Arabidopsis thaliana: one gene and its partners. The protein of the gene in region 2 interacts with the protein of the main gene of each other region in a pairwise test. Each region holds a gene or a part of one and is shown on either strand. Other genes may lie near its edges. The genes, in order: AT1G19450, ATG8D, SUT2 and PGLCT.

Region 1 (8,083 bases), on a different chromosome or scaffold from region 2:
ATTAGGTTACCATTACTTAATCTCAAATCTCTTGACTCTCTGTTTATTCCCTCTCGCCGTTGTTATCTCCGTCGAAGCCTCTCAGATGAACCCAGATGATCTCAAACAGCTCTGGATCCATCTACAATACAATCTGGTTAGTATCATCATCTGTTCAGCGATTCTAGTCTTCGGGTTAACGGTTTATGTTATGACCCGACCTAGACCCGTTTACTTGGTTGATTTCTCTTGTTATCTCCCACCTGATCATCTCAAAGCTCCTTACGCTCGGTTCATGGAACATTCTAGACTCACCGGAGATTTCGATGACTCTGCTCTCGAGTTTCAACGCAAGATCCTTGAGCGTTCTGGTTTAGGGGAAGACACTTATGTCCCTGAAGCTATGCATTATGTTCCACCGAGAATTTCAATGGCTGCTGCTAGAGAAGAAGCTGAACAAGTCATGTTTGGTGCTTTAGATAACCTTTTCGCTAACACTAATGTGAAACCAAAGGATATTGGAATCCTTGTTGTGAATTGTAGTCTCTTTAATCCAACTCCTTCGTTATCTGCAATGATTGTGAACAAGTATAAGCTTAGAGGTAACATTAGAAGCTACAATCTAGGCGGTATGGGTTGCAGCGCGGGAGTTATCGCTGTGGATCTTGCTAAAGACATGTTGTTGGTACATAGGAACACTTATGCGGTTGTTGTTTCTACTGAGAACATTACTCAGAATTGGTATTTTGGTAACAAGAAATCGATGTTGATACCGAACTGCTTGTTTCGAGTTGGTGGCTCTGCGGTTTTGCTATCGAACAAGTCGAGGGACAAGAGACGGTCTAAGTACAGGCTTGTACATGTAGTCAGGACTCACCGTGGAGCAGATGATAAAGCTTTCCGTTGTGTTTATCAAGAGCAGGATGATACAGGGAGAACCGGGGTTTCGTTGTCGAAAGATCTAATGGCGATTGCAGGGGAAACTCTCAAAACCAATATCACTACATTGGGTCCTCTTGTTCTACCGATAAGTGAGCAGATTCTCTTCTTTATGACTCTAGTTGTGAAGAAGCTCTTTAACGGTAAAGTGAAACCGTATATCCCGGATTTCAAACTTGCTTTCGAGCATTTCTGTATCCATGCTGGTGGAAGAGCTGTGATCGATGAGTTAGAGAAGAATCTGCAGCTTTCACCAGTTCATGTCGAGGCTTCGAGGATGACTCTTCATCGATTTGGTAACACATCTTCGAGCTCCATTTGGTATGAATTGGCTTACATTGAAGCGAAGGGAAGGATGCGAAGAGGTAATCGTGTTTGGCAAATCGCGTTCGGAAGTGGATTTAAATGTAATAGCGCGATTTGGGAAGCATTAAGGCATGTGAAACCTTCGAACAACAGTCCTTGGGAAGATTGTATTGACAAGTATCCGGTAACTTTAAGTTATTAGCTTCGTTTGAGGAACTGTTATTGTGTAACTTCGAGACTAATCCATGGTTGTTTTTTTCTTAGAGAAGAAACCCTTAGATTTGATCTCTGACAATGTCAATGTGTTTGTTGTTTATGTGTTTTGGAGAGTTTGTGATATTTGAGTTACAGTTCTTGAGCTCATGTTTTCAGATCTTAGATGTGTAATGACGAAATCACAGAATAAAATTAGGGACATTGTTAAACAAAAGGTTGTTTGTTTACTATTATTGAAGTTTGCTCCAATTAAATTACAGAAACCAAAACTTTCGTTTGTCCAACTTTGCCTTTCACTGACACTCACTCGTGTTGAATGGTGTGAATATGTGAATCCGTTACTTTGAGAATATAAACAAGGAACGGTAACTACAAAAACCATTTTCATGTTCTTGTAACGTATTATTTCGTTACTATCTGTAAATTGTCTAGATATTTTCCTAGTTTATTACTTTTGGAAGAAAATGACCTTAGTATTGTTTACTTGGTTCTGATTTCTTAATGAATGGTCAAATTGGACAGTGGGACATGCCAAGAATGTTATATAAAGAATGATTTTAAAATTGTTATTATATTGTTGTTTTCTTTTTCAAATCGACCGCCGTTTGCATTGGAAATAGTCCTTTCATGTTCGCCAAACAACAAAACTCCCAAAGCAGTTTCTATCACATGGTAGCTTTCCCATTTGGATCCAAAACACTAACATTTGCATTTCTGATTTTCTATACTTAATTCAAGATATTGTTGAATACACAAATATAGTGCTATTAATCTTGAGAATCCGAAAAATTACACACAAAAACAAAAAATCAAATTTAAAGGTATAATGATATGCTTGTACAAGATAAACAAATTATAATCAATGTCAAGAAGAAATACATTGAACAAAGCATGAAATACAGACACAGGGAAGGGACAAAAGAATGATCTGTAATGGAGAAAGCAAAAAGTGAAAATTTTGTCTTCTTCTTCCTCTTCTTGTTTTGATCATCTGAACAAAGCTTGGATCTCTTCAAGCGTTTTTCCTTTAGTCTCAGGAACCCAAAGACTCACAAAAACCACAGTGAATCCACAAACCAAAGCGTAGAGAGTGAAAGTTCCCCCACTGCTCCATGCTAACAGCATATTTGCAGTCATTGTCACTAACCATGACACGAACCAGTTTAACAAAGTTGCTATACTTCCGGCTAAACCCTTTATATTCACTGGCAGAATCTGTTTTACCAACATTAATCAGTATTAAAATTTCCAGTTGTGATTTTAACACTAAGGAACACCATGTTTTAATATTTAGTACCTCAGACATAATCAGCCATGGAATTGGTCCCATTCCTAGAGAGCAAGAAATAACCATAGCCTGTAAATAACTCAGCCAGATTTAGTACACATACCGGGAAATATGTAAATAAGAAAGTATCTTTCGTTGTGTGAATGTATAAAACAAACGACTTACCACAACTCCAACTACGGAAACCATGCTTAGAATGTTGTACATGTTGGAATCAGGTGATACAAATTCCTAACAAAAGATTAAGAAACCTCAATATCTCATAATTAGAGTGACACTCTTACATTGTACAAGTAGAGATGTCAAAAGTTAAAATGTTACCTTAAGGTAAAATGCAACTGCTACAATCACGAGGCTTATCGTCATTCCGATAGAAGAGATCTGCATTTCAGAAGAAAATGCTAATATTATGTTATGCATACATAAATTCTTCAGACTTTGTAAGATATACAGATGAATCTCAAATATTCTTCACCATGAGTAGAAGCCGACGACCTGCTTTATCCACCAACCATGTCGCTATCCCAGTCGCCACTACCTGGTATAGAATGAACAACGGTTAGAAAAATCGAATCTAATGTCTCCTAGATTGAAATGATATACCTGAACAACGCCAACTCCAAATGTCGCCACATTACTTGATGTCACCCCTTAGTGAATGATAATTGCAAACAAAGAAGCATAGTTAGAAATCTGTTTATTCTATCTTAGGACCATTCCAATAATCAAAAAAAACATATGACTCTACCTGCAGATTCAAAAATTGTACTCGAATAGAACAAGACACCATTGATTCCTCCAAGTTGTTGAAGTGCAAGCAGCCCTATACCAACCTGTAACACAGATTACAGGAAAAGAGTGAGTTTCTCTCATGTGTTGACAAAATTAGTTCAAGAGAGGTAAGAGAAATTGCACCATCAGTGGGAAATAGTATCTCCTGCGCTTGAGGTCTACAAACCGAACTGCAGAACGTTTGCTAGATGATGCCACAGATCTCTGCAGAGTGCATAAAATGAAAATTTTAAATAAGACAAGAAATCACATCAAAGCATTTCTTCAGTTTAGTCACTACCTTGATTTCATTAACCTCAACGGTAATATCAGTCTCAAATCCACGAAGAACTTGCAATGAAGTTTCGAAATCATCTGTCAAACCCATCTTTGCCTACAATTACAACACCAAAACAATTTAGGATAACCAATAATGCAACAAACTCAACAATATAAGCAATACGGTTGTAGAGGCATACCAACCACCGAGGAGATTCAGGAATGAAAAAAAGACCCGGTATCAACAATGTACATGGCAATACTCCTAAACATAAAGAAGACAAACAAGAAAGTGATTAGACTGTATCGATCAAAATAAAATAAAAACAGGTATAGTTTCTCCCAAGTCAAGTCAAAATGTTTTGTGAGTTACCCAAAACTGCAAGAATTCTCCATGGAACAAAGAGACCGAGTAAATACGCCAGCATTATCCCAATTGTTACAGAAAGCTATAAACACAAAACATTTATTGTTTAGTGTTAACATATGAATCAGCTCATAAAATGAAACATAAAAATAGTGAAGCTAACTAAACATGACAAACCTGGTTAACTGAACCTAAGGCTCCTCTCATGGTCTGTGGAGCGATCTCAGCTATATATACGGGAACCTAAAATCGCAATTCAAAGGTGTGTAATTATATTGATCACTCCAAACAAACATTGCTGAAATCAAAGAAATAGTTGAATCTAATATTACCGTATAGGAGATAATCCCAACTCCGAAGCCTTCTAACAATCTTCCCATGTAAAGAAAAGAAGTATCCTAAACAAAAACCAAGAACAACAACAACTTAGTAGGTATAGAGATAAGCCAAGAATATCAGAAACTTTGAGAACACCAAAACACTCACTTTTGCAAATGATATCGAAAGCCATCCAATAATATTGGGAATTGCAGCAATCATCAGAGACTGTCAAAAGGAAAGAAAAACACAGTAAATAAGATACAACAAGAAAGAAGATGTTACATGACAAATTGTCACAGATGAGAACATGTTTTAGAATCAAGAAACAAAACTATTATACCCCTTTCCGTCCAACGTATTCAGCAATCTGACCACTCGCAATTGCTCCAACCATAGCACCCACATTGGATAGAGACCCAAACACAGAGTACTAAAACATCAAACAAGAAACCTAAAAGTCAGAAAATTACAGAACAAGAGTCTTTACAAAAAAAAAAAAAAAAAACAGAACAGTTCTTAAATAAAGATGGGACCTTCATACCTCTGATACAGTTAAACCAAGATCCTTAGTAATGGCAGCTTGAGTTGGTGAGGAATAACCACACTGAAAACAAAAAGATAAATCAAAATCAACACTTTCTTAGTCAATTTGAGCAAAAGCAGAGAAATCCACATTGATAAAAAAAAATATAAGAAAGTTGAGATATTTGTTTATGTTGTTCTTACAGTGAATCCGAATTGAATAGGACCAAGAGCAACAATCAAAACACAAGCTAAGACAGAAATTGAGCTGTCTCGAATAACTTGAGACGATTCCAACATACTAGATTGTCTCGAACCCATCCGATACCAACTTCCTGTGTGTAAGAACGGTCGCCGAAGATCATTTCTTCCCTCTTCCGTATTATCATCCCTAAAACTCATCTTTTTGTTTTTCTTAAATCTACAAAACAATCGTAATCTACAGAGAGAAAAAAGCACGAATCTTTCGGAGGATAAAAATGTCGATCCTAAACTAGAAAATGCAGAAGAAGAAAAATACGAAATTTGAGGTAGGATTTGAGTTTTGGGTGAATTCAAAAAGATGTTAGACTTGTTTTGCTTAAGAATTCTTCATGGTTTGTAAAAATTGAGCCTTTGCGTGGAGAGACGCAGACTGTTTCATAGTTTTCCACCTCAGAACGCGTCGCCTAACATCGATTTATAGAATTCGTAAAGGGACCTGTTTTTTTTCTTCTCTGTCGACAAAAAAAAACTTAATTTAAAAACATTTTAATTTGTAATTAAATAAGATATCGTTCATTTTAAATTCTTTTATATCAAATTTAACTATTGTTTTTTTTTGTCTGATTGTCGTTTTCGAGTTATTTTTTGCGCAAAGATAATTTTTTGAATCATTGTCCCATGTTCGCTCACATATACAAGCATTTGTAGTCGCTTTGAATCATTTATTTTCTTCTACATACTTCTACATACTCATTAGTATTATAATGAGCTTTTACAATGTAACTAATTACGCAACAATACTATAAAATTGTGGTACAGGCTGAGACTAAACTATATTGTATTTTTAAGAAAATGTTTTTCTTTTTGTTTAGGTAAACTGTCTACTTCAAAGATATTTTTTGGTAGGAATAATAATTAAAACTTCCCATATTAGAATACGAGGCCACTAGACATTCCTTTTGACAACAAAAAGTGACAATGTCATTTTATATTTTAGCACTTATAATAATAGTTAGCATGCATTATAGAATTCATATTTAGATGTTGTCCTAACTCTTAACAAAATCAGAATAACAATATTGTGGGAGAAAATTTAGCTAAAACTTCAATTTAGGACAAATAATAAGATTATTAAAGTAACACTTAAATATGAATATAATGCTCGAATCCTCCTCTACTTTTTAGCATTTTCGCTACCTCGTTGATATTGATGTCGATAGGTCACAAATATGCAAGTGACATTATTTTATTAGATAAACTCGAATAATTATAGTTTTTGTTTTCTAGTATATGAAAAATATATGGATGTCATTAATTTCGAATACTTCAATAAATATAAATATTTATTCAGATACAACATTATTTATTTATTTTCAATATTTAAAATCTTTGAGAATACGACATGTTATTTCAATGTTTACCAATAACATCCTACTATATTATTTAGGAAATACATTTTAAATATAACTTTATTTTTTTGTAAGTAATTACATAGGTATGTCATTAGAAATAAGATTTTAAAGAGTAAATTAATTTATTTCTTTAAAAATTAAAAGTCAAATACTAATTTAATTAATTAAATTTAACTCAAAAACGAAATACATTATTAATTTCCAAAAAAGTAACCAATTAAAATCAACAAATTAGATTTGATATCTAAATTATCATATTAATTTTTTATTAATTATTATAGTTCACCTCTCATCTTTATATGATTCTATTTTTGCAAAAAAATAATATCATCGTTATAAAAAAATAATTAGAATTTTTTCGCATATGCCACAATTTGAATTTTTAAAAACGAATATAAACTGTTCAATACATGAAAAAATACTATAACGGGTCAAAAGTAGATTTAAGAAATTTTTTTACTGAGTACTGTGTCATAGTTTGAATATTTATATTCAATTTCATACATATTATTTTAAAATTTATAATCTTATATACTACAATAATTAATAACATATTAGATTTTTTAATGTGTATGATGTGATTCAATTTTTAATACAAGCTGAAAAATCCTACAATTGACGGGTTTAAATCAATATTAATACAAGATGATATACTATATGTGAAACTTTAAAATTAACAATCAAAATACAAGTATATAATTTTAAACACTAAACAATATAAATAATATCAACAAAACATATACAACTCGCAGTTTACTATACATTTAAAATCAAATAAAATAATATCATATATTTATAATCAACTTTACAATAAAAGTTTTTAGTTTAACTAAAATATAAGACTACCTGCTGTATAATGCAAGTTAAAATTATAAATAAGCCGATTACCATCACGATGGATGTACCATCTCACATACACACCTATCAAAAACTTAAAACCTTTCAAAACCTCTTGGTATATTCAAATTAGGATTCTTCATTCATGGAATCATTATTCCAAGGGTTTTGGGATGTCTTATGAAATGATTTTGGCAGAAGAAGATGTAAATTTTTTTGAATAAAAAGTAGTCACCAAAACATATGTTTTATTGGGATTTTTTAGATAATTAAATCAGAGAATAGGGCTAGGCATATGAGTAACCCATTCGAGTTCGGGTATAACCCGTTCGGATTTGGGATTAATGGGTATATGATTTACTACCTAATAGAATAATTCTAAATATTCGGTTCGGATCGCGTCCATTTGGGTTTAGGTCAGTTTGGATAAAAAGTTTCAGGCCCTAAAAATACTCAAAAAATAGAAACAGGTATTTTGTATGTAGATAATGCGTCTCCAAACAACAAAAACTTTTAAATTTATTAAATTTTAATAAATTTAATTATATTTAAATATATTTTACTAAAGTTTGACAAATATAACAAATAATTTTGACAAACATAGCAAACATAATAAAGTATACAATTTAATTTATACAAAAT
Region 2 (6,648 bases):
CTTGGAGAGCATGGTTTGGTAATCTTCTCCGGAGATGGAACTTCCCCATCCTCCATAGAAGGAAGTTCCTATCAAAGTTTGATTACATCCTATTGCAGAAATCGAAGCAGCAGCCATAATCAATCAGCTTCTCCCTCTCTCTCTCGGTCTTTCTGATCGATGTTAATGGTAGAGAGGAAGAGAAATTGTGTGTGTGTGGTTGGATTTTGAGTTTAACATTTTGGTGTGGACAAGGTTTGGGTGTTGTTTTTGTTTGGATGGAGAAACCAGAGCCACAAATATGATTCTGGCTTTTTCGTTTTTTTGACTTAACTTATTACGTTTCTCATGTTGCGGGTTTATGATCCTCTGTATCACGTTTTATTATATCAACATTTCTCCACCGTCGGATTAAATATTCTCCTATCTCATTTTTTATTTTTTATTTTCAGTTGTTTTTGGCCTGGGCATTCGGTTTATTCGGGTAATCGGTTCGGTTTGGTTTAATCGGTTTTTTCGGTTCTTTAAAATTTTGTCAAATTAAACCGAATAAAGATTTGGTTCGGGTCGGTTTGGTTATAGGATTCAAAATCAACTCTGAACTAAACCGATTTTTTTTTTAGTTCGGTTAGTTTATACCGAATAAGTCCAAAATCAAGATAATGGGTCAAAACAAAAATTATAGAATGGGCGAAGATAAACAAAATTTTATAATTACAAACCAATAATTGGGCCAAAACGAAAAACAAACTTAAACCCAAAATAACTAAAAATCCAAACCTATTAAAAATTAGGGTTGATGGTATCTTGGTGCCGCTACCCTCTTCATAATCAGCAGATCTACGTCTGTGACGGTGACGGTGATAGCGAGGGATGACGATATCTCCGTAACGAAATATGCCCCGACGTGCTACCATAGTGAAAACCACATGCAGATAGAGAGAATTGACTAAATAGCCATGGATGAGGATCAAAAGGAAACGGAGAAGAAGCTAAAAAGATTAGATCTAATGTTTTTATCTTTATATTTATAGTATCTATTAACCGAGAAAACTGATCGGTTATGTCTGCCGAACCGAGAACCGAACTTCAATTATAATTTCGCCGATCGGTTTAGCCTTCCCTTCATAGTCGGTTATCAGAACCAAAAAAACGGTTTGTTCAGTTCGGTCATTGGGTTAATCCGAAATCCCAGGCCTAGTTTTTGCTGGATTGTACAGTAATAATCTGTAACAGATGATAATCTATTCTAGAGTGTGCACAAATTTACCTAAATCAAGTTGCTTTTGAAATCTAAATATTTATAGCTAAAGTTATCTCTGTTTTGTGTTCCTTAGAAGCAGAGATTGCAAGAGCTTAGAGATTTGACGGTCGAGCTAACTTTGAGAAGATAGAAATCGTAACGGTTCAACGACTAGTGAAATAGGCCGGGCCAATATTCAAGGAGGACACCAAGTGACCTCAACTATATATAGCGACTAAGTTTGAAATTAAGTGTAGCATAAAGCCAAATTAACACCATGAACGGAAGACCTTATCATGTTAATAACATAGCATGCAAGTTTCAAAAGCTTCGTCCAATGTCATGAAAACTAGAGACAAGCAGAGAAATAGACAGACTGTACATTGATAATCTGATGCATCCACATATTCCAAGCGCATTAGAAGAAGATCCCGAACGTGTTCTCACCACTGTAACTCATGTATAGAAACCCGTCTTCGTCTTTGTGCTCTTCATAAATTGCAGACATTATTGCCGCTGCAATAAAAGGATAACACTACTACTATTAGCTCAACTGAGAAAAAGATATGATTCCTTGAACTGGAAAAGTATATGATTAAGGAACGTGTTTGAAACTAACCAGTTGGTGGTAGAATGTTCTTGACAAAAATGAAGATGGCTTTCTCGGGACTGAGCTTGATCCGCTTCCGTACAACATAAACAAACTGGCCAACAGTCAAATCAGCTGGGACCAAGTACCTAAAGTTTTGAATAGTAAGTCAGCCAATTCATTATCCCTAAGCAACAAACCATGAAAACCAGAAATTCCTCCAGATCTTTCAATAAAAAAAAATTATTTCTATCCAATTAACCAATTCATTACTAAATGTGAGGGAGTGTAGGGTTCTCAGAAAAGGGCTTGAAGCCACTTTCAGTGAGAAGAAAGAGATTATATCCAACTCCTCAAGAGAAGTAAGGACTTACTTTTTCCTATCAATATCCGGGACATCACTCTTCTCGGCTCTTTCGACAATGACCTGCAACAATTTCAGAGAGAATAAGGCAAAAGCTATGCAATTTTCTTAAATGAAAATAGCCAAAATTCATACTGGTATTCTGTCTGGATACTTCTCCCTGATACGTGCTGCTTCAGCTTGTCTCTTTTCTGTAACATTCAAGAGCAAAAAAAACACAGATCCATCAATTTTCAACACATCAACATCCTCTAACCCACGTAAAACAACACAGACTCAGCGATAATATCTTAGGATTCCACTTGAACAGAGACTATAATGTACTTTGCTTCCTCAGCAAAAGTAGAACAAAATCAAAACATGTTTCAATCAAAGATTATGTACACTACTACTCCAGGCTCCAGGGACTAAAATAGTGATTCTAAGCCTCGTGAACAACACATACTCAGTGATAATATCTTAGGATTCCACTTGAACAGAGACTATAATGTATTTTGCTTCCTCAGCAAAAGCAGCACCAAATCAGAACATGTTTCAATCAAAGATTATGTACAGGGACTGAAATAGCGATTCTACGCCCCGTGAACAACAGAGACTCGACCACGGAACACAAGAGAGACAAGTGAAACTTAGTAACTTCAACATCAATATTCATCTCCACTTGAATAAAGATCATAATGTATTTGCATCAATAAACACAAAACTTGTTTCAATCAAAGATTATGCATACTACTTCACGAAACAATACAGAATCGGCGATAAAATCATTCAACATATAATTTTGCGGATTCTTATAACTGTTAACGCAATCAAAATTGAAATCGTTGGAAATCAGAATCAAGGATCAATTCATGCAAACTCAGAAGCAATTGAAATAGACGTAACCAGATTTTGAGAATTTTTAAACCTAGTCGCTAAAAAAATCCCTACGATGAGAGAGAGATACACAAAGATCAACAAGATTGATCGATTAGGTTTAAATCGAAAACGAACCAAGAGGATGTTCATGCTTGAAGGAGCTAATCGCCATGATTTTTCGCTGCGAGAGAGAAACAGAGAAGAGAGAAGCAAGGGTTTGTGTTCAACGTCGAAATTGGGTAACTCCAAAGAATGGAGATAGTTATTTGGAATGTTTATAAAAAGGGTACGCTTGGCAACAGATCTTTATATATTTAATTACTTAAAACTTAAGAGTTAAGAGTTAAGAAGTATTGAAATATTGGATGTATTAGGCCTGAATGGATATTTTCGATTCAGTTTTTGAGTTTAGATTTTAGTCTATAGATTTTAGATTTTTGTTATTATATTTTTGTTTTAAAAACCCCTAAAAAATTGGTTTTTGGTTTTTGAAAAAATAACGTTGATTGAGTAAAAACTAGATTTTCTAAACTTTAGAAAAACTAAAAAACTTAAATATGAATGGAAAACTACAATAAAATAGTTTTACTAAATTGTAGGGAAACCAAAATTTTAAAATCTTGATTGGTATTAAAATAAGTTTTTAAAAAACAAAAATCAAAAACTCTTACAAAATCTAAAAAACATTCAAGGTCTTAGTTTTTTTTTTTGGGTTTTGTGTAAAAAAATCTATCTATTTAACACTCTCTGTTTTTTGAAAAAAATAAGTTTTTAAAAGATTAATTTTTAGATTTTTTATGAAATATTTATTAGTTATTATTAATTAATTATAAACTTTGATAAAAATAATTGAATATTATTGATTTAAAGTTATAAAAAATTGTAAAATACAAAAAATAATACATTTAACAATTTTAATATGTTTAACTTAATATGTGTGTTTTTCCTAACCAATCAAATAAAAAAGAACAGATGAAGTCATTTTTTATAAGATAAACTATTATGTCAAATAAATGTAGGTTTGATATAGACGATAACTCTATTAAAAACATAAAGATTTAGTGTAAAAAATTTCTATGTAAACTTTTTTTGTAAAAAAAAATCTTCATATCAAATAAATGAATGTCAACACTACAATCTTAAAAATCACTCATAATATTATCTTTTTGTGTAGTGATGACATGACAACCAATAACTACATTAGAAAACATACAATAAAACAAGAGTATTTATAATAAATGACTATAGATTTGAAAAGAATGTACAAACTAACCTTGAATCACAGTATCTTGTCGGAAACATGTTGGAAAACACGTGTAATTACGTAAATGTCCTTTGTAACATGTTATTTTTCCGAAATACATGCGATAACATAATATCCTCTTTTTATCTTGTTATTTTCTCTTATTACATAGTATTTATTAAAAAGCACCTGGTATTTTTTGGAAAAAACATTCTATTCAGTTTAATATCTCTTTTTATCATGATATTTTGTAGTAATACACGTTTTTTATTAAGATCACACGTGATTTCTTTAAAAATATATTCCTATTTTTTAGTAATACATGGTTTTTATTAAAATCACATATAATTTTTTTTTTTTAAGATTCTGTTCACGTAAAAGAATTTCATAAGAATATTTTTTCTTAAAAATTCATAACGTTTTTTGAAATAGCATGTTTTTAAACTAAATATAACATGTGAAATTTTAATGTTACATGCTATTTTGAAAAATTACACGGATGTATTTCGTTTACTGTTCATCTTACAACAAATGAAGGGTAGATTTGTTATTTCCTTTCTTCCGACAACGTGGGATCCATGGTTATTTTGTAACAAAAAACTTTCTCTCTGCTAGTTTCTTAATTTGTATGTTTTATTTGGTTATCTACTAATATTACCCATAAAACAATATACACCAAAATTATTGAATTTTTATTTATCTGAAAATTTGGAGATTCATATTTATTTTTCATTGGGATCTTCAAAACTGTAAATGAATCACTTAAAATCAAACCAAGATTTTTGATCATGTGGAACACAATTCAACAAACACATACATCGAAATGGATGAAGATCGAAATGGAAAAGAAAAATGAATCTCCAAACTTCATATGAATAAAGAAGAAGATATAATATGAAAGAACTCTAATTATTTCCCTCAATTCTATTTCTAATAACGAAACTCACACAATCATGTGGTTTTCAACAAAAGCAAAACAAAGGTCTATTTTGATATCCATTATGCTTTTAACGGAATTATCGATTGTCATGTCATCGCTATACAAAATGACTATATCGCGGGTGACTTTGAGATTGTAATATTGTATTTATTTGACATTGAGGTTTGTCTTGCAAAAATAAAAAAATATATGGAGGGTTTGTTTAACAAAACTCTTATGTCTTCCAACGGAGTTATCGACTGTTACGTCATCGATATACGGAAGGACTATATTGTAGGTGACTTTTGAGACTGTGATATTGACCTGTATTTTTTTGAGATGGATGTTTGTCTAGCAAAAAAAATCATTTGGAGAGTCCTTTTGCATAAAACCTTTTTTTTTTCTTTCTCATAAATGTTGCACTTTATTTAAAACTTTTGTTGCAAAAGTGGAATCTTTCACTTACATGACTCGACAAACACATCAAATTTTACAATATTAGATTATCTAAACAAGCATCCATGTTGCATAACCAAAGAACCAACAAGTTTAACTTATAAGAAGAAGCCCAACTTAAAGAAAGTCCAATCTAGGAAACTAAACCCTTTGTAGAAGTAAGATTTAAAGATTCCAACGCAAAGCCACATGTGAGACTATGAAGCAAGGTTAAGACGCATGGACATGTGAAGCATATATCGTTGTTGGTCATTGTCGATTTGGTAAGAATCCTTAGGAAACTCCAAAATCATCAGAAATCGCCAGATCTTCAAGCAAAGAAGTCTTAACGGTTTTTAATTAGAGAATCTCACCAATCTTCATTATCAAATCTGCAAAGAAAAGAACTTCTCAAAGTAATTTCCTCCCGAACTCTAAGGAAATCCGCGTGGAGATTAAACCGATGGAGCTTTCAGCAACAACTTAGGCGCATAACTGTCTTGAAAATTAAAACGAAGAAAACTGGTAGATACAACAATGCAATCAACAAACAACCTTGCCAAAAAACCATAGGGGCCGAAAACAAGAAATCCCGACGGTAAAACAGAACAAGTCAGTAGAAGTAGATCTGAGAAAACTCTCCTGATCTAACAATCTCACATATTGGAACTCTTCATAATCGAGACAATTAAACAAACGCATAAACAAAACTGGAACTACCTGATACACTGGACGGCGAGTTAAAAAAGCAAAGCTAGCCAACGCCGCCTATAGGAGGCGGTGATGCCAGAAAGAGGGCCCGCATCACAACTGTAGAAGGCGGAGATACTGGACAAAAAAAAACCAATTCAATTGGGATAGCAAAAGCCAGGAAAACTTGTCCGCAAAAGAAACACTTCTTTCATTTAGATGTATTAGTTTAAAACACACATTTTAAAAAAAAATATGAGTTCTAGAAAATTTATCATCATATATAATGCAACGGTGGCAATATTATTTTATGAGAGTGACACAATGG
Region 3 (8,962 bases), 1.3 Mb from region 2:
TCTACCTTCACTACGTTGTGCATCCTCGGATTATAGTTAAACACTGCACCAAAGTTTTGGAAAATATAAAATTTTAAGTTAATCATATAATTTTTTTTTTTTGGTCTAACGTTAAATTAGTTAATCATATAATTGATTACTCGACCACTCTTAATTGATTCCATATATTGACACTCAGATTATAAAGTAGCTGGAACTGTTTAGGAATTTCATAAATCTACATACTATAACGTTGGTTGAGATATTTCTTCATGCGAAAACAATTTTAATTCATCACTCAAGTATACCAAAATAAATTAAAAATTAGGTTAGTGGTACTATTTATGATATTTTAAAATATTTTTTGTTAAATTTAAACGCACATGAATTTTTGCTATACACATAAATCAGCGTTTGTGAATAATCGAAACTAGAAAAAAAATTTTGGAGAAGGAAGATGTATACATACATATCTATAATATAGTAAAATATATCACAGGCTCAATCATGTAAAAGATATACACTATTTAAACTGTGTATGCAAAACATTTATCAATCATATTTGTAACCTTTAAACTATAGGAAGTTTTTTATTTGTCGTGTGCTTTATACAAAAGCACATCTTGCCCATACTTAGAAGCAGCCATGATATGGATACATCCCTAGTGGATATGAAGATTAGAAAGCTTAACTGCTTGTGGTTTAAGTGTAACAAGATAGTATAATAATTACTGAAGCTTGATTAAAAGGATGTGAAGTATATACCAAGAACGTCGCCGGCTCTAAAGTGTTTGCCTTTAGGCCAACCCACAGCGTTAAAGGTCCAGATACCAGAGTCACCGACCGTGTACGTTGCAGCTTGAACGTAGTCAGCTTGAAGCAACAACACTGACACAGCCATGAGAGTCACTATGGCTCGAGCCGACCATGATGCACTGCCTCTTCCCTTGGCCATTGATCGATCTTAGGTGAAAGTTTAGAGAAAGAGAGAGAAACTATAGAGAGTAAATGAGGATGAATTGAAGAGTAAATGTACAAAGGGTTTTTAAAGAAGAAGAAAATAAGACATTCAATGTTTTTATTTTATTAAATTGGGTGTCTCAACAACCCATGATATATGTTCATTTATTATTTTTGGCCACATTGTCTATGTAGAAATTGATTATAGACTTAACTTCGGTTTCTTTTGTCTCATTATTGAAGATAAGAGTTTGGTTTTGACATTGTTACACTAAGTTGAATTTTGTTTCTTTGTTTTGAAAATGCTTATATCAACTAAATAAGGAACTTGTGGACAAAGACTATGTCATCAACAACCCACGATATATGAGCATTTATTATTTATGGACACATTGTTTCTATTGGAGATATAGTTTGGTTATGATTTTAGTACATAGTTTATAGGCGAAAATAGGTTTGAATTTGTGTTCTTATTGAAATGCTTTGTTATATTAGTATGGTAATGTTGGGAAAACGTACACATCATAGGTTAAAGAACCAACAGTATTGTGTTATTAGATTGGACTATTGAGTTTGGAATATGTTGCTTCAAGTTTCTATTTGTGAGGAAAGGAACACACAAATATAAAGTGATTCAAAATAACGAAGATATATTCTACGTGAGAAGAGAGGTACTGTAAATTTAGAGTCACATTGCTGTGTATAACATATAAGAAAACTAGATGTACAAAACCTACTTACATATACGCCGAGAGGAGAACGTGGTCAAAAAGAATCGGGTAGATCTAACTGTGAATTTTATGTCTGTGGTATAAAGATTTTAGCCGATGTGGAAACCGGTGGACTTGAAAGAACTCGATAGCGTGGGAAGCCTTTGCAATGCAATAACTCCAGCAGCGAAAGCAGCAACAGACGCCAAAACAAACGCCGGTAAGTTTCCTCCTCCAAACAATTGATCCCATGGACCCGCTCCAAGTGATACTATCATCTGTTTAGAGCCAAAACCATATTCAGACACTATTTACGGGTCAAGACTACACTCGAAGTGAGTGGCATTATACAAGAGAATGAAATTTATCAGTGTAATTAGATTTGAGAGATTGCCTGGGGAATAACGATTGCGAGATTCAACACTCCTATAGCCAAACCTGGAGTGAGGAAATGAAACCATTAGGGATTACTGAAATCTAAGATTTAAGTACAAAAACTATGAATATAGTGAAGATATGAATCTTTTCACAGACCTTGACCGCCACCGGAATCAGCAGTGACTTCTGCTGTGACAGAGAAAGGGACACTGTATGTGATCTGCATTAAAGAATGGTTTTATCACATATTTTAGAGAAATGTTGCAACACGAAAAGAATAAAGAGAATTACGGTTGAAAGAAAGCACATACAGCTAGGGGAAAACCAAGGAGTGCAAAAACGATTACGGCTGCGGTTCTTGTTGTTTCGTTTCCACGCATTATGTATTCAATTCCATTTTTGTCATCACTGAGAGACATCAAGCTGATTACAGCTGTTCCCGCCATGCAGGCAAATACAGTAAAATTGCTCAAAGCCCATACAACCCGAGCACCCATCCGCTGACACATTGGTTCAATGAGAAATGAGCTGATCCCAAGAACAACCTACGGAAACAGGGAAGAAGAATATTCAATAACGGGCGAGTAATTGAATTTTGAAGAGCAGTGCAGTTAAAAAACAGGTTATTATAACGATTCTTACAGAGTTTAGTAGCAAACCAAGTGCACCTTCACGTACACCTTGATCATAGAGTTCCATATGCAAACTATCTCCTGTTGGATCCCCATGGTAAACTTCTCTTCCCATCCAATCTGTATCGAACAGAAAGAAGGGGAACCAGGATAACTGCAAAGAACAAGACCACAATCAAAAATATAACAGAAGCAAATAATTTTAAAGATCATTAAAGAGTTTAAGAAAAGAAACAGTGTGAAATATGTAATAACTGATCATAATTTTTCTTTGGCACTCACCCATGTAAGAGCCATGACGATAAGAACTGAGTGCATAGCCGGTGGCAAATGCCTTAAACTAGTTAGCAAATTCACTAAAACAGATCCAGGGCCATCAACGTAGGTCTCATCTTGATGCTCATTCTCTGAATTGCCAAACTGTTCATCCGTATCACGTTCCACTCTCTCATACTTGATTCCATTGGCAGTACCATTATTTAATTTTGAATGCTCAAGGCCTTTGGACTGGAGATCATCCAACAAAGGTGCAGAATCTTGTATGCGGGTGGGCTTGTTGCTTGTAAAAGGAATCTCTTTAGCAAAATAGATTGTGACAAGAGTACATATAGTGAGAAAGACCTGAAAAAATGATTTAAACTCTTAAAACATATAGAACAATATATTCAGATTTTAGACTATGAAACAAGAACAAAAGCCACTGGGTGCAATAATATAATTTCACTTTCAAAATCACCTCAAAAATAATATAGACATACAAACAGAACGCATTGATTTGCGACATATATGAATCACAAGTCACAATGTACAAACGTGAGAGTGTTTCGTAAAGACCAGCCCATTCCATTGCAATTTAGAAAGCTTAGTAAGATGCATGTGTCAGAAAATTAAACATACTGCTTACCACTGCAAGAAGAAACGCTGCTTTGAGATTTCCACATGCAGCACAACATGCTCTACTAGTTAAAAAAGGGAACCATCTGCGCAGTAAAATTGCCTGATCATTTAACAGCTGGCGGAAAATGCAAAATTGCAAATGAGGAAAAAGAATACAAGATTTTGAGAATAAGGATCTCAAAGATTACTCTTGCCATTTTCCGCTAGCACCGGCAGAAAACCCAAGGATGTTCCCAATAGCCATCCACAAGCAGAACACAGCATTTGCAGTATTCCGCTGATCAGGACCTAGGGACAGCAAGAGACATCTCATTAGAAGCACAGCATATTCAATCTGATTCTAGAGTTTGAATAGAAATTCTGTTCTGTTAAGTGTATGGTTATATTCCATTATTACCTGATAGATCAGCTAGAAGAGCACGAGCAGGTCCCTGAAAATAAAAAAGCCGAAAACATCATTCCTGGATACAGAGGTAATGACTAGTACCATTCACTCAAGTACATTGCAGAGGCAGATCTGAACCTGTACTGTATTGTTTGCTAGATCCAACAACCAAAACCCAATGATAAAGACAACAGCTGCCCTGGTTCGTGTGCCTTTGAAAGTACTGCATTTCAAGATACACATCAAGTCGTCAGTTACTTTAATTTTGATACATTCCATAAAAAACATGCCATTGGCAGGGGAGCAGGAGAGTTACCTGCAATGTTCCTTTGAATCTCCTAACAGATACCCAATGTCTGCAGAAAATCCGATTATTATCACCTAAATTGCAAGCTTTTGTTTAGCTTATATAAAACACAATGTAGCCAGCTATCTCCTAAAAGAAAATCAAAACAGAAATCATATCTTCTATTGGCACTTACTGCTATTGAGATCATGAATGATCCAACTAGAATAAATGGTCGTCTTCTTCCATACTTTGAAGTACATTTATCACTCCAAATGCCAACAAAAGGCTGGACCTAAAACCCAACAAACAAATAAGTATGAACAAAATGGGGCAGAAAAATAGTTTCTGATCCAATATAAATCAAAACTTGAACTCTCGTGAGATCATTACGTGCAAGATAGTAAAACTGCTAAAATTCTTAAAGAAACTTTTAACCTACCACAAGGCCTGTAATTGGGCCGCACAGCCAAATAAACGAAGAAAAAGCATGCGATATTCCAAGGGTCTGCATCAACCAACCAAATGCAACACTGTTAGATAAAACTCAAAAGGGTTCTTCAGCAACAAGAAAATCAAAATACTTCCAGCAAACAGATATTTAACAATAGTTCTATCTACCACCATAACTACCCACCTGATACATATATGACCAGTACAATACTATTCTAAACACAGTCTAATCTCTGATTATACAATAGTTCCGAAAAAGGCTAAGGTCTTTTATATTTTTACAAATGCTTATGTAATCCAATGAACATAAACAATCTAGCTAAATTCCAATGTCATATACTCTTCGATAAGCCAATGCTATAGAGTTCCATACGAAAATATCTCATGGCTATGTTGGTGACAACAACTACCTAACCTAAGTATTAGAATTCATTGATTCACCTACAAAGTACTCGACTTTCTCGTACAAAGCTACACAAGAACAAAACCCTCGAATCTAAATTGCTATAGAGAAAGCCACAAGTGATAGAAATGGTAACAATGACAAGAGTAATAGTAAGTACCTGAATATAAGGAGTAAGAAGAGAAAGTTGCAATGCCCAACCAAATTGAACTCCAGCGGCAACTGTACAACTAAGAACCAACGTCACTAAACTACAATTCTTCGACACAGATTCACCATCAGCCGAATCAGAATGATTCGAAGGAGAAGCAGATTCAGAGAACGACGAAGAACCAGATTCGTTTTGACGATGCTTGGTGACCGTCTCAAGTTCAATTTCCTTCCTCAAATTCCTATACGGAACCGAGATCGACACCGAGTCACTCATCGTCCTCAACACACAGATCCCTAATTCGTATCAAAATCAATTTCTCATTCCGATTTAGATTTCTAGGGTTTTGATCTCGTCGATCTAGATTCGGAGACGATGATCGGAGAGTCAAATTCGGGCGGGTGAATATTTTGATGAAATCGATTTTTTTGAGGTGATTGAGAGAGAAGACGCGGAAGTGAAGAAGGAAGGAAGATTCGTTTTACAGGGAACCGTTGATTTGTAGATTAACGGATGAGATTAAAACCTAACTTAATAGTCAACGTTTTCGTCTCGGGCTTTGTGTAATCAGCACCGTTGGATTTGATCGGATCAAAACCGTTGCTTCAATTTAAAGGAAGAGCGGACGAAACTCACCGTCACCGACACCAAACAAAAAGTGTGTGCTTTTAAAAAAGTAAAACGGTGTCGTTTGATAAGAGTTGAGAGTGGGCCTGTAGTTTTTTGTAGCTCGGCCCATTTTTGTAAGAAATTCACAACTGTGGTACATTTAGCCCAAATATTAAGTCTATTAGAAGAAAGCTGTCTCATTTTTTGTTAGCATACACACCTAAAACCTATAAAACATGTGTCAAGATTATATGATTCATAGCTATGTCCCTTCTTCTATTTTCTGATGCCTTACACTGCGAACACTGTGATTAGTGATTACATTGGTTCAAGTTTGACTTCATGAAATATGTTTGGTTCAAGTTTGCTTCTAATGCTACCATTCAAATCCAAACTCTCACAATTGCATATTATTAAAGAAAAAAGGATAAGACGTCTCAAAGAAATTTTTTTATATAAAATCATATAGGGTATGTTCTTATTAACGTATATATGAACATGTGTTACTAATTTAAAAACAAAATCATTTTGTAAATTTGTGTTTTACAACAAATATTTTGTGGGAGATTTTAGGTGCTAGCAATAATAAGTAATGTTAATTAAGAGAGTTATAAACATTTTTTCACTATTTAATAGTGTTTTTTTCTTCTTACCAATGTCACTATTTACAAGTATATGTATTTTCTAATAACTAATGTAAACATGTTTGTAAAAAGATTATATAACATATATGTGTGTGATTGTGAAGGTGATAGAGTTCTTCTTACCAATGTCACTATTACAAGTATATGTATTTTCTAATAACTAATGTAAACATGTTTGTAAAAAGATGATATAACATATATGTGTGTTAACGTGATAGAGCCGGATTAAACGAATAAAAGGAAGAAAGTTAGAAATAAAAAGGAGGAAAAAGGAAAAAGACGTGTGCCTAACAAATGTATCATGTATTGGTACAAAAATGCAAAGATGATACATAATTATTAATATTATTCTTGCTTGTGGAAAATGAAAGCTAATAGGGCACACAATTGAATTAATACTTACGTCTCTCTTTCTCCATCTCTTCCCTTGTCCCTCTCTTCTCCTTTCCTTATCCACGTGTACATGACTCTTATGTCCCATCTTTTTTTTCTTTTTCTTATCATCAAAAGTTCAAAAACAAATCCTTTTGAGTTTAGTTGTTATGGTGTGCATGCATGTATGATGTATCCGAACCAAAGTATAGTCGAAAATCCAAATTTTGTATTCTTTAATGGTTAATGGTTAATTGAGAAGTTATAGCCGAGTCTCATACACTTGTTGTCCATCAAAACTGATACCATTCTCAATAGTATTTGAACCAGAAAACCACTATTACTCACTTTTGTAAAAGAACTATACATACGCGCCGTTAGACCAAATATCACTTATTACAAAACAAATTTTTTATCTATACCATGTTATAATTTTACATAAGAAAAAATAAAATAAAAAATCGGATTATTCCATTCAAAAAAGCATTTACATAAAATTCAAGCCTATATAGGCAATTTGGTAGCATTGACTCGGTTTCTCCACAAAAAAATGAACCTTATTACACCTTTGGTTTTATCTTATTTGAGATTGATGATTTGATCATGTGCCAATTTTTATTTTTATTTTGTTATAAAAAAGATCAAGGTTAATAAGTTGATTGAAAAACAGTAATAAGTTTTTTTAGTTTAATCATGTAATTACATTTGACAAAAAGCACGTGTTGAACGCGGCTATGACCCAAATAAAAGAGAAAAAAACATATGTACCATAACTTAACACGTCATCTCCTTAACGTCGAGCACGTCAAATGCTTACGCCTGAAAATAACTCCTTCGTCATTTCTCAAACGACAAATTCAAATATTAATAATATAAAAACTATATGTTTAAAAAAAAAAAAAGAGATGCGTTATTACAATAAATTTAATTTTCTAACTTAGTGATTGGTTGGCAATTTTGTCGTTCTCTGTCGATAGATCATAATTTATAATGTGATATTTACATATATACATAAGAATGGGGCTTACACTGTTTCACATAATAACTCCATTAAAGTTGATAAAGAAAAATTATAATGGTCATTAATCATTATTGAGAATGTAACCATCGATATTGAAAGATAGAAATGTGGAAAGAACGTGAAGAAATAAAAAAGAATCACGTCACGTGGAGACAGCTCTTTTACGAACTCTTATATCCACTCACTTCATTAAATCATTTAAAAAGTGGACTATTTTTTAAAAAAGCAACAATGGTTTGTGCATATATTTGTAATGGTTTTTTTTCTAAAATCTTTGTGTCATTTAATTGTCCCAACAAAACCAATACATCATCTTGCTTTTTTTTGGGTCCGATTTGTGCATATATAGAGTGTTCATATAGAACGGAGTATATGCGAAACCTTAACTCGACTAATTAAGTTCGGAAGCTACGTCCAATTATAACAAAGTTGAGTCAAAAATGCATCATCCCCTGAACATCGTCTCGTTGACCGGACATCGAGACTATGTGCTATCGCAAACAACATGTGATCAAATTCAAGAGACATATTAATAGATGACAATACGTTTTTAGGTTAATGGTAGATGAAACATTAGCTTTGTTTTTTGAAATATATGAAGAAAAAAAGAGTACTATAGTTGTTTATGGTTCTCGACATCATGCCTTTGTTTTTGTCGAACAATTGTTTCGTGAATGTCATGGGATAATACGGTTTCGTGTAAGTTATAACGAACGAGACATTAGGAAGATAATATTGACTAGCTACAGTAAATAAAGTTAGATTGGTTTAAAAGATGGATCTTGGATTAGTCGTAAAATCACTTTAGCATGCACCGTCCAATAATACTTCCCATGGGACATATAAGACTTACTCTCACACAACCCACACGTGCCTGTTACGTTCTTGATTGGATAAGAATGGCCTCGTTCGATGGTCAAAGCCTATAGTGGCACGATATGTAATCAAATTGTGTCGATCCTTTAATTTTTACTTTATAAGATCATATCAATAACAAAAATTAAACATTAGATTTGATCATGGCAAATTTCATTGGTGCATAAATTTCGCAAAGGGAAATTGACCTGATCAGTAGTTCTGCA
Region 4 (7,880 bases), on a different chromosome or scaffold from region 2:
ATCAAGATCAATGCACGTGCCATGTGAAAAAACCAACCTGTCAAATCGAAGAGATATGTTTGGAAAAGTATAGTGATGTGTTTTTGGAAAACTAGTGATATAATTTCTGATTAGTAGTATACTGATCATATATAGGGGTACCTAAATAGGTTTATTTAAGAAAAGAGAAAGATATAATTAACAAACTAAAGCTGTTATTATCACCTGACTTGGGATTCTTCTTGAATAGAAGACGGAAGTTTCGGGGAAAGAATCTTGAAAAGATGGATTAGTATGAACATATATGGAATAAAACCCTTCATGTCCTTCAAAGAACTTTTCCCACAAGCCAGCCAATGGGAGTCTTCCACCTGTCATGAACATGAAAGCCACCTTCACAGCCATCTTCCCATCATTATTATGTCTCCTCCCTAACCATGATGATGACGATAAGGATGATGTTGGTGATGATAATGACGAGGCCTTGGTGAAGAGTTCTTGATCACTCATGTTGTGTTGAAGTACTTGTAGTTGCAACTCTTGTTTGATATCCATCTCTGTGGTGTGGACCGTGTGGTTGAATAATAAGGTAGACCATAAGGGTTGTCGTTGTGTCGTCGTCGTAGACATGTGTACGGCTTTTAGTTGCAGACAAAGGAAGAGACCAACCGAGAAACCGAATACAAAAAAGAGTGAGCTTAAGACATAACTTCCCTTTTGTAAGAGAATCAATCTCAAGGGCTTTGTGATCATTGGGTACTGTTCTTCTTCTTTCTTGCTCTTATGATCACTAATGCTCATTGTAGAGATAGAGAGGGAGAGGGAGAGAGAGAAAAAGAGAGAGAGAGGTTGTTGTGATCGTTAAGGATTTTGCAACCAGTTGTTATAAATGTGTTATTACAAGTTGTATAAGAAAAAACAAGGTTTTTGGAGTGTATTGGACAACGTCAAAAGGAGCTCTCTTGCAAGTTATATAAATGTATATTAAAAGAGTAGACTTTGGAACGAAGACGTGACCTGTTGACTTTTAGTTGTTCTCAGGTCAATATATGTATATAACGATCATGTGTTAGATACAAAACTTAGGTTTTAGATCTTAACATTTACACGATTTGACGAAATTTTATCTTGCCCATAGGACGGAGTGTAGTAAGAGATTGCAATTTCAAGTAAGGGTGATGATATGTTGTCAAAATAAGCTAAGGGTGGCATGTTGTCAAAATATGTTTTTTTTTCTGTTGCTGTTGAAAATATGAATATTTGAATCTAATCTTAATTTAACCGAATCACATTGAACACCTTGGTGAGAGGTGGATATAACCGAGCAGTTCTGTATTTCAAACCTATACTTGAATGATCTATTGAATTGTTTATCTGTGTGCGTGGGTTCAATTTTGTCTAATTTTTCTTTTTGAAAGTCTAACTTAAACCGAACCAATACAATAGCAAATTAAATAACTCAAACCAAAATAATATCAAATAAAAAAACTAACCTGATTACTCCAAAGTTAAGGAATTCTTCATAAATAACCTGGACGAGTTAATTATTCAAAATGTTGCAGTACTGAGATGGAAGAGAGTGCGAAATGTTCGGTGCTGACCCACAAACCATGGAAGGAACAATATTTCATGCCTAACTTTAGGTGCACTTGACGACACATTGCCAGAACCTTCTTTTTGTTGCTAAATAGTCAAATATGAAGTTTTGATTACAAAAATCATTAATACAGAGAGTAAGCGTTGCGGTCGTGATCGGCATGCTAGATTAGTGGATTTTTAAAGGTCGTAAGGTCTAATTACATTGCTTAGTCAAGGCACAAAAGTAATTAAAGACCAAGCTTGAGAGTTTTACTTGTACTCAAAGCTGTTAGACATAGACCATTTATTTTCGGCACGATCTATGATACATTAATTAAGATTTCTCATTAATATAGTAACTCACTAACGCCAAAAATTCCAAAACAATTGGGTGTAATTGATAATTAGAGAAAGTGTTAGGTCAATTATGTATTAGTTCAAAACATTCGGGTAGTTAGTTAAACTAGCATAATATTTTAGGGTAATTTCGGTATTTAATCCCCCAACAAAAAGGAAAGGAAAGTTTCCGACGTCGGTTTCTTAACATTCTCAAAGTTGCCGACGGAGAAGCCATGGCGACGACGAGGACAAACGAGGAAATTGACAGAGAAGCAGAGGAGAATCGAAAAGAAGCTCTATTAGCTTCAACACTATCTCTTCAACCCAATTTTAATCGATCCAACCTCACCCAGAAACAAATTTCCAAATTACAGGTCAGATTCTTTGCCTCGACTTTTAATGTTTCTGATCTTCAGATATCCCAATGAGATTGTAAGCACGACTTCGTATAATCATCTTGATTCGAATTTCTATCAACTGTTCAATCCAGTTTTTTTTTTTTTTCTTTCAACCGAATTACTATGTACATAGCAATTTGAATTTGAAGCCATTTTGGTTGTGTTGAGATTACAGGAGCTACACAAGAGACGTATGCAAATAAAAGCTAATGCAAAGATTCATAAGAAGAAACCTAAAGGTATATATATATTTAGCTCTCTTTTTTTGAGAATTCTCAGTTCATATTCACTAGACTAAAAGCTCTACACTGAAATGCAGCGAGCAAGAATTCTCAGAGTAAAGCGATCGAAGATGGCGAAAGCTCTAAAAAGTTGAAAGAACCAACTTCTTCTTCTTCTTCTACCTTAGAAGAACAGAATCATAACAAGACAGTAGTCACAGTACCGAAGAAGCCACAAAAACTGTTTTGGGGGTGAGCTTATTTCGCTAATTTTAGAATTCTTTTTCATATTGAGAAAACCGTGCTAATGCCATGCTTTTTTTGTTTTGAAACAGGCTAGATACCAGGGAGAGGTGGGAAAGGAAAGCCAACATGTAGTGGTCATGAAAAGATTTCTCGTTATTGATAACGTCGTCCATTGTACAATTTAAGAGTAGCAGATTAGAGAAAGACTCACAAACTAAATGATGAAACAAACTGGTTTTTGTTCTGCTGATTTCTTTTGTTTAATTTCAAGCTCCAGATGTAAGAGCAAGCTCTATTTCCTCCAGTGATCGACCTTTAGTCTCGACGACGTTTCCTGCAATGTAGAGGACCGCAAGGACGCAGACTCCAGCAAAACCCAAGTAGACACTGCTGATTCCGAATTTAGTCACAACGCTTAAGAAGTATAGTCCGATCACAAAGTTTGATATCTGTTAGGGCAAAAGAGAAACAAAACATTAGAAACAGAGAGAAGAAACTCTGTTCTGAACCCATAAAACCTATAGATATATGTATATACCCAGTGCATGCCGAGAGAAAGAGCGACGGCTTTTGCTCTGATTCGGGATGCAAATATCTCTGGAAGAAGAAGAGCCGGTACCGGGCCAGCACCAAGTGAGAATGACAGGACATATCTGATTTAAACAACCGAGCATAAGAGTCAGTCAAGTCCTATACAGAGAGACTATAAGGAAGTGTTAAGAGGAGATTGACTTACAGAACAGTTCCAACAACGGCAAGGGTTCCAGAATAGGCAGCAAGAGCCTTCCATGTGAAGGACAAGGAGAGTAACAGCATTGACAAAGCCTTTTCAATACAAAACCATAAAATCCAAGTTAGTCCTGTTGTGGTAATACTAATGAGGGTTGAGATTTTCGAATATGGCTAAGAATTTTAATAAAAACATGTACCATTCCACCAAAGCTTGTCAGTAAAAGACTTTTCCTTCCCATTTTATCCATCAACGATGAAGCAACAGCAGTGCCTGCGACCAGATTTTTATCGTGTTATTTTTTTGGTTATTTTTGGAATTTAATGAGAACATAACGGGGAAACGAACCAAAGACATTTGATGCTCCAACGAGAGCACTGGCTGCAACATCTGATTGGATTCCCGCACTACGGAATACCGATGTGGAGTAATACACAACTGCGTTTATCCCGGCTAACTGTTGAAACAAGAAGAGAGCCGCACCTACGCTTACAACTACAACAAGAACAGACAAGAAACTATGTAAATTGATCAATCCGATATGACCTTTGAAAGGAATCCGTCAGCTTTTATTACAAACTAAACAATGTATCTCCACCAAGTCTTGCTATACCTTTCCAGTAGCGGCTGCTGAATAGATCAAACCATCCTGCCTCCGGCTCAGAAGAACCTTGGCCAGAGGCTGATAAGTCGCGAACTAGTTCAACCACTCTTTCTTTACCATACAAAGTTTTGATCGCCTTTTCAGCTTCAGAGACTTTTCCTTGCTGCAAAATTGATTTCCTTGACTTGTCAAAAATTGATCTCATTTTAAGTGTTGAGATCTGTTCCTTGAGAGTACCTGAACGAGCCACCTTGGGCTTTCTGGAGAAAAAGCCATTCCTATGGCCAATAGAACGGAAGGGATAACTGCAACACCAAACATCGTCCTCCACCTAGAAGACCACGATATCAAAACTTATCACAGTATGCAACCCAAAATAAAAGATGATGAATAAAAAAGGGATGTTACATACCATAGAGGGTTTGCTGCAAGGGGTAATCCAGCTATCAAGGCTGCAAGTATTCCTATACAGATGAACAACTGGTTCACAGATCCGAGTGCTCCACGGATTTCAGTTGGTGATATCTGACAACCATCATCAAACGCTTCAGAGACATAACATATAAACAAATCTAACATCTTATGCTAAAAGTGCAAAAATAATGAAAATCAGTATTTAAACAACCTCAGATATGTAAAGTGGTACAATCGCTGATGAGATTCCAATTCCAATTCCAGCGAGCAGACGTCCCACAATCATAGTCTGCACACTCTGAGCTGTTGCACTAATCAATAAAAAAAGAACCAATGCGTTAAGAAATCAATTAACGTCTCACCAATAGGTATGGCTTAGTGCTTGAAAATTTACCATAAGAAAGCTCCAATGGCAAGCGGGATAGCATCCAATTGAAAAGTTCTTGTTCGTCCAAATTTGTCAGCTAATGCACCTCCAGTGAATGAACCTACCGTAGCACCAGCAAGCAGAGAACTAACAATCCATCCTGCTCAACACCAATCATAGAGAATACCAATTATGAGTTTGGCTACTAATCAAAACACGAATCATTTTACCGTTGACAGGAGGAGTAAAGAAGTGGATCATCATATACTTGCCTTGCAAAACAGTATTTTCGGCGATCCCAAGATCCTTAGCAAGATATTCAAGAGCACCATTAACCACCCTGATTCAGTCCAATAGAACATCATCATCCATGATCACACCAAGATAAAAACAGTGTAGTATTTAGTCATACCCGAGATGATAACCAAAGAGTATAGCACCAAGACAAGCAACACCAACAAAAGGCAAAACTGTTCCAGAGCTTTTCCCTTCAGATCTCAGAGGTATAGCTTCTTCTTCATCTCCATCTACATTTCATTCCTCAAACCATCAGATGATTAGTCCAAATCCCAAACTATACATTAGATTCTTCAAATTGTATTTAAGAACTTGTAAGCAATCACAGAATCTAATGATAGACAAAGATAGAAGAGCATTAGAAGAGACGAACCAGATGAGGCTTGAGCTCTGACCGATCGAGCTTTGACAGAAGAGAAACTCATAACGCTCTGGATCCCGTTATCAGCACGAGCAAGCGTCGCTCCCATGGCTTCAGAACCAGAACAGTAGAGTGGCCCGGTGGTGGCTAAGCTCTTATAACCAGCGAAGCGAATTCCGGTAGAAGTCGTCGATCTGTCAGAAGAGAAGGTCCGTCTCTGAAACGCAAACGCAGCGTTTCCTTTAACCGCATACGTTGACGACTGCATTTTGTCTGACTTTTTATAACCGTAATTGCAAGGAAACGAGAAATATTAGGCAAGGAAGGAAAAAAAAGGATCGCATTTATACCAAACAGAACTCAAAAAGAGAGAAGTAAGGAACGATGAAGACGCAACATCACGAAATTGGGAAATATGTTGCATTGATGCGAACGAGAGAGTAAAAACGCTCTTCTCGATCGCGGCTGATTAACAAAAATCGTGATATCCAAAGCAAAACTTCAGATTTGAAAATTACCAGAGAAACTTCGGAGACTCCGCGATTTGAGAGAGAGGATAGTGAGGGCTTAAACCAGATAGATTGTGATTGCTGAGAAGAACTCACTGTGGAGCTTATTGTCGTTTAAAAAAAAAAATTAAAACGCACCAAAAAATAAATAATGCAATTTTGTTTCCTTATTAGTTTTGGATTTTTGTGTAATAATTCATATTTATCCAAAACCATACGGAAAATAGAGTATTTTCATTTCTTATTTTAAAGAAATCATGAAATTTAATGCATGTGATGCAACTTTCAATTTTGGATTGGTAATTTTGTAATATTTGCTAGGAAATTTGAATAAATCAACCAGTATCAACTAAATCGAACTAAGTGGCGGGACTAATTAGGAAATTTTTTTGAGTTTATAAATTGAGAAAATTATTTACAATTATTATTCGACATAAATTAGTCGATAAAAGGGTAAGAAAAAAAGAAGTAAAAGAGTTACGTAAGAGCCGCAGGATTGGCGATTTGGCAACGTTGGATTTTCTGGATTAGATTTTGGATGACGTATATAGCCGCACGTGTTATTCAATAGTACTCACGTGCCGCCATTGAGCATAGTAACGGTGACGTATAAAAATCATAGTAACTTGGGCCACTATTATTTAACCCATCATTTTTGTGGGCTAATATTAGTAAGCCCATTAATACAAAACGGGACCAATTTCTAACATCTTCGTCTCAGTATTTCATCGTTCTACTTCTATCTCGTTCCAACGTCTTCGCAAAAGAAAATTCCGAAATTGTTTCGAAAAATCCTGAAGAAGAAGAGGTAAGCTATTTTCCTTCTCACTTATCCTTCTTCTACTGAAAATTTATAACATAATATAAACCACAAATACATTTTTGTGTAATCCTTGTAGCTCATTGCTAATCTCTGATTCTCCAGAAATTTTGCTGAGTCCTCTGTTCGATTACACTTCAATTATTTTTTATCTGCGCTGTATCTCTGTTAATGGGTTTCATTAAGTTTTGATTCTCAGTTGTTATATGATTTCGAATTTCATTATATCCTGAAAAGCTTTTATCTTTATGTATATTCCAAGTATTGAATCTCAAAGTTTCTAGTCATTTCAATTTCAATAGGTCTTTGAATCAACAACAGTTCCATGTTGTGCCCAACGTATACACCAAGTGTTTACCATTTTCAAACGCAAAAGCCAGTTTTCCGGAAACAGAGGTTTCGGGTTTGTTCATCTACTTCTGGTGGTGAGGATGATAGATTCAAAGTAGAGTACACTCCTTGGCTTATCGTTGGGTTGGGCAATCCAGGAAACAAGTATCATGGAACAAGACACAATGTAATGATACACAATCTTTTTCTTTTACTTAATTGCTGGATTTGATCTTGGCAATGCTACAACTTTGTGTTGTTTTCAGGTTGGTTTCGAGATGATCGATGTGTTGGCTAGAAAAGAAGGGGTGTTGATGAACACTATACAGTCCAAAGCTCTAATCGGAATAGGTTCTACTTCTCTTGCTTTGGTTCTTTGGTTTGAAGAATAATAAAACTGATGACTTTTTGGTTCTATGTATGAATCAGTACAGGTGCTATTGAAGATGTACCTATCTTGTTGGCTAAACCTCAGACTTATATGAACTTCAGCGGCGAATCGGTTTGTATTTTCTGTTCATAACTTTGCAAAGATCAGCTGCGTGATCAAATAATCATCATACCTGAAACTGTTCTGTTGTCGTTTTAAAGGTTGGATCTCTAGCTTCACACTATCGAGTACCATTGCGCCACATTTTAATGGTAAAGTCACTGACTTAAGCATCCCTTGAATCCAGAACTATGTTC

The links.
Region 1: the proteins of ATG8D (region 2) and AT1G19450 interact in a protein complementation assay, tested with the Arabidopsis thaliana proteins (one large-scale study listed by BioGRID).
Region 3: the proteins of ATG8D (region 2) and SUT2 interact in a protein complementation assay, tested with the Arabidopsis thaliana proteins (one large-scale study listed by BioGRID).
Region 4: the proteins of ATG8D (region 2) and PGLCT interact in a protein complementation assay, tested with the Arabidopsis thaliana proteins (one large-scale study listed by BioGRID).

The regions. Positions count from the first base shown.
Region 1 is NC_003070.9:6,729,244-6,737,326, forward strand, and holds AT1G19450 (Major facilitator superfamily protein), read right to left. Parts: upstream 5,782-8,083; 5' UTR 5,391-5,781; coding exon 5,193-5,390; intron 5,071-5,192; coding exon 5,008-5,070; intron 4,897-5,007; coding exon 4,807-4,896; intron 4,692-4,806; coding exon 4,632-4,691; intron 4,544-4,631; coding exon 4,478-4,543; intron 4,389-4,477; coding exon 4,323-4,388; intron 4,228-4,322; coding exon 4,152-4,227; intron 4,044-4,151; coding exon 3,979-4,043; intron 3,894-3,978; coding exon 3,801-3,893; intron 3,725-3,800; coding exon 3,644-3,724; intron 3,562-3,643; coding exon 3,477-3,561; intron 3,379-3,476; coding exon 3,332-3,378; intron 3,267-3,331; coding exon 3,204-3,266; intron 3,110-3,203; coding exon 3,050-3,109; intron 2,960-3,049; coding exon 2,894-2,959; intron 2,798-2,893; coding exon 2,738-2,797; intron 2,656-2,737; coding exon 2,428-2,655; 3' UTR 2,168-2,427; downstream 1-2,167. Other genes in the region: KCS4 (3-ketoacyl-CoA synthase 4), read left to right, coding at 1-1,426.
Region 2 is NC_003071.7:2,081,571-2,088,218, forward strand, and holds ATG8D (Ubiquitin-like superfamily protein), read right to left. Parts: upstream 3,313-6,648; 5' UTR 3,206-3,312; coding exon 3,169-3,205; intron 2,836-3,168; coding exon 2,729-2,835; intron 2,646-2,728; coding exon 2,621-2,645; intron 2,367-2,620; coding exon 2,311-2,366; intron 2,239-2,310; coding exon 2,186-2,238; intron 1,961-2,185; coding exon 1,842-1,960; intron 1,739-1,841; coding exon 1,641-1,738; 3' UTR 1,416-1,640; downstream 1-1,415. Other genes in the region: PGR5 (proton gradient regulation 5), read right to left, coding at 1-117; AT2G05632 (uncharacterized protein), read right to left, coding at 6,174-6,332. UniProt on the Arabidopsis thaliana protein: Ubiquitin-like modifier involved in autophagosomes formation. May mediate the delivery of the autophagosomes to the vacuole via the microtubule cytoskeleton.
Region 3 is NC_003071.7:826,787-835,748, forward strand, and holds SUT2 (sucrose transporter 2), read right to left. Parts: upstream 5,834-8,962; 5' UTR 5,511-5,833; coding exon 5,244-5,510; intron 4,736-5,243; coding exon 4,670-4,735; intron 4,523-4,669; coding exon 4,424-4,522; intron 4,323-4,423; coding exon 4,258-4,322; intron 4,165-4,257; coding exon 4,080-4,164; intron 3,988-4,079; coding exon 3,954-3,987; intron 3,845-3,953; coding exon 3,745-3,844; intron 3,640-3,744; coding exon 3,564-3,639; intron 3,281-3,563; coding exon 2,942-3,280; intron 2,814-2,941; coding exon 2,670-2,813; intron 2,573-2,669; coding exon 2,339-2,572; intron 2,248-2,338; coding exon 2,184-2,247; intron 2,088-2,183; coding exon 2,044-2,087; intron 1,928-2,043; coding exon 1,760-1,927; 3' UTR 1,493-1,759; downstream 1-1,492. Other genes in the region: ARPN (plantacyanin), read right to left, coding at 1-43, 745-934. UniProt on the Arabidopsis thaliana protein: Responsible for the transport of sucrose into the cell, with the concomitant uptake of protons (symport system). Can also transport maltose at a lesser rate. May also transport biotin.
Region 4 is NC_003076.8:5,270,826-5,278,705, reverse strand, and holds PGLCT (plastidic GLC translocator), read right to left. Parts: upstream 6,231-7,880; 5' UTR 6,053-6,230; exon of another isoform or gene 5,812-6,052; 5' UTR 5,803-5,811; coding exon 5,547-5,802; intron 5,404-5,546; coding exon 5,289-5,403; intron 5,217-5,288; coding exon 5,149-5,216; intron 5,037-5,148; coding exon 4,904-5,036; intron 4,821-4,903; coding exon 4,721-4,820; intron 4,621-4,720; coding exon 4,508-4,620; intron 4,427-4,507; coding exon 4,333-4,426; intron 4,259-4,332; coding exon 4,105-4,258; intron 3,987-4,104; coding exon 3,840-3,986; intron 3,765-3,839; coding exon 3,691-3,764; intron 3,587-3,690; coding exon 3,498-3,586; intron 3,415-3,497; coding exon 3,300-3,414; intron 3,211-3,299; coding exon 3,028-3,210; 3' UTR 2,894-3,027; downstream 1-2,893. Other genes in the region: AT5G16170 (Core-2/I-branching beta-1,6-N-acetylglucosaminyltransferase family protein), read right to left, coding at 205-780; AT5G16160 (uncharacterized protein), read left to right, coding at 2,130-2,270, 2,470-2,533, 2,614-2,767, 2,851-2,893; AT5G16140 (Peptidyl-tRNA hydrolase family protein), read left to right, coding at 7,189-7,380, 7,460-7,544, 7,628-7,695, 7,785-7,835. UniProt on the Arabidopsis thaliana protein: May be involved in the efflux of glucose towards the cytosol.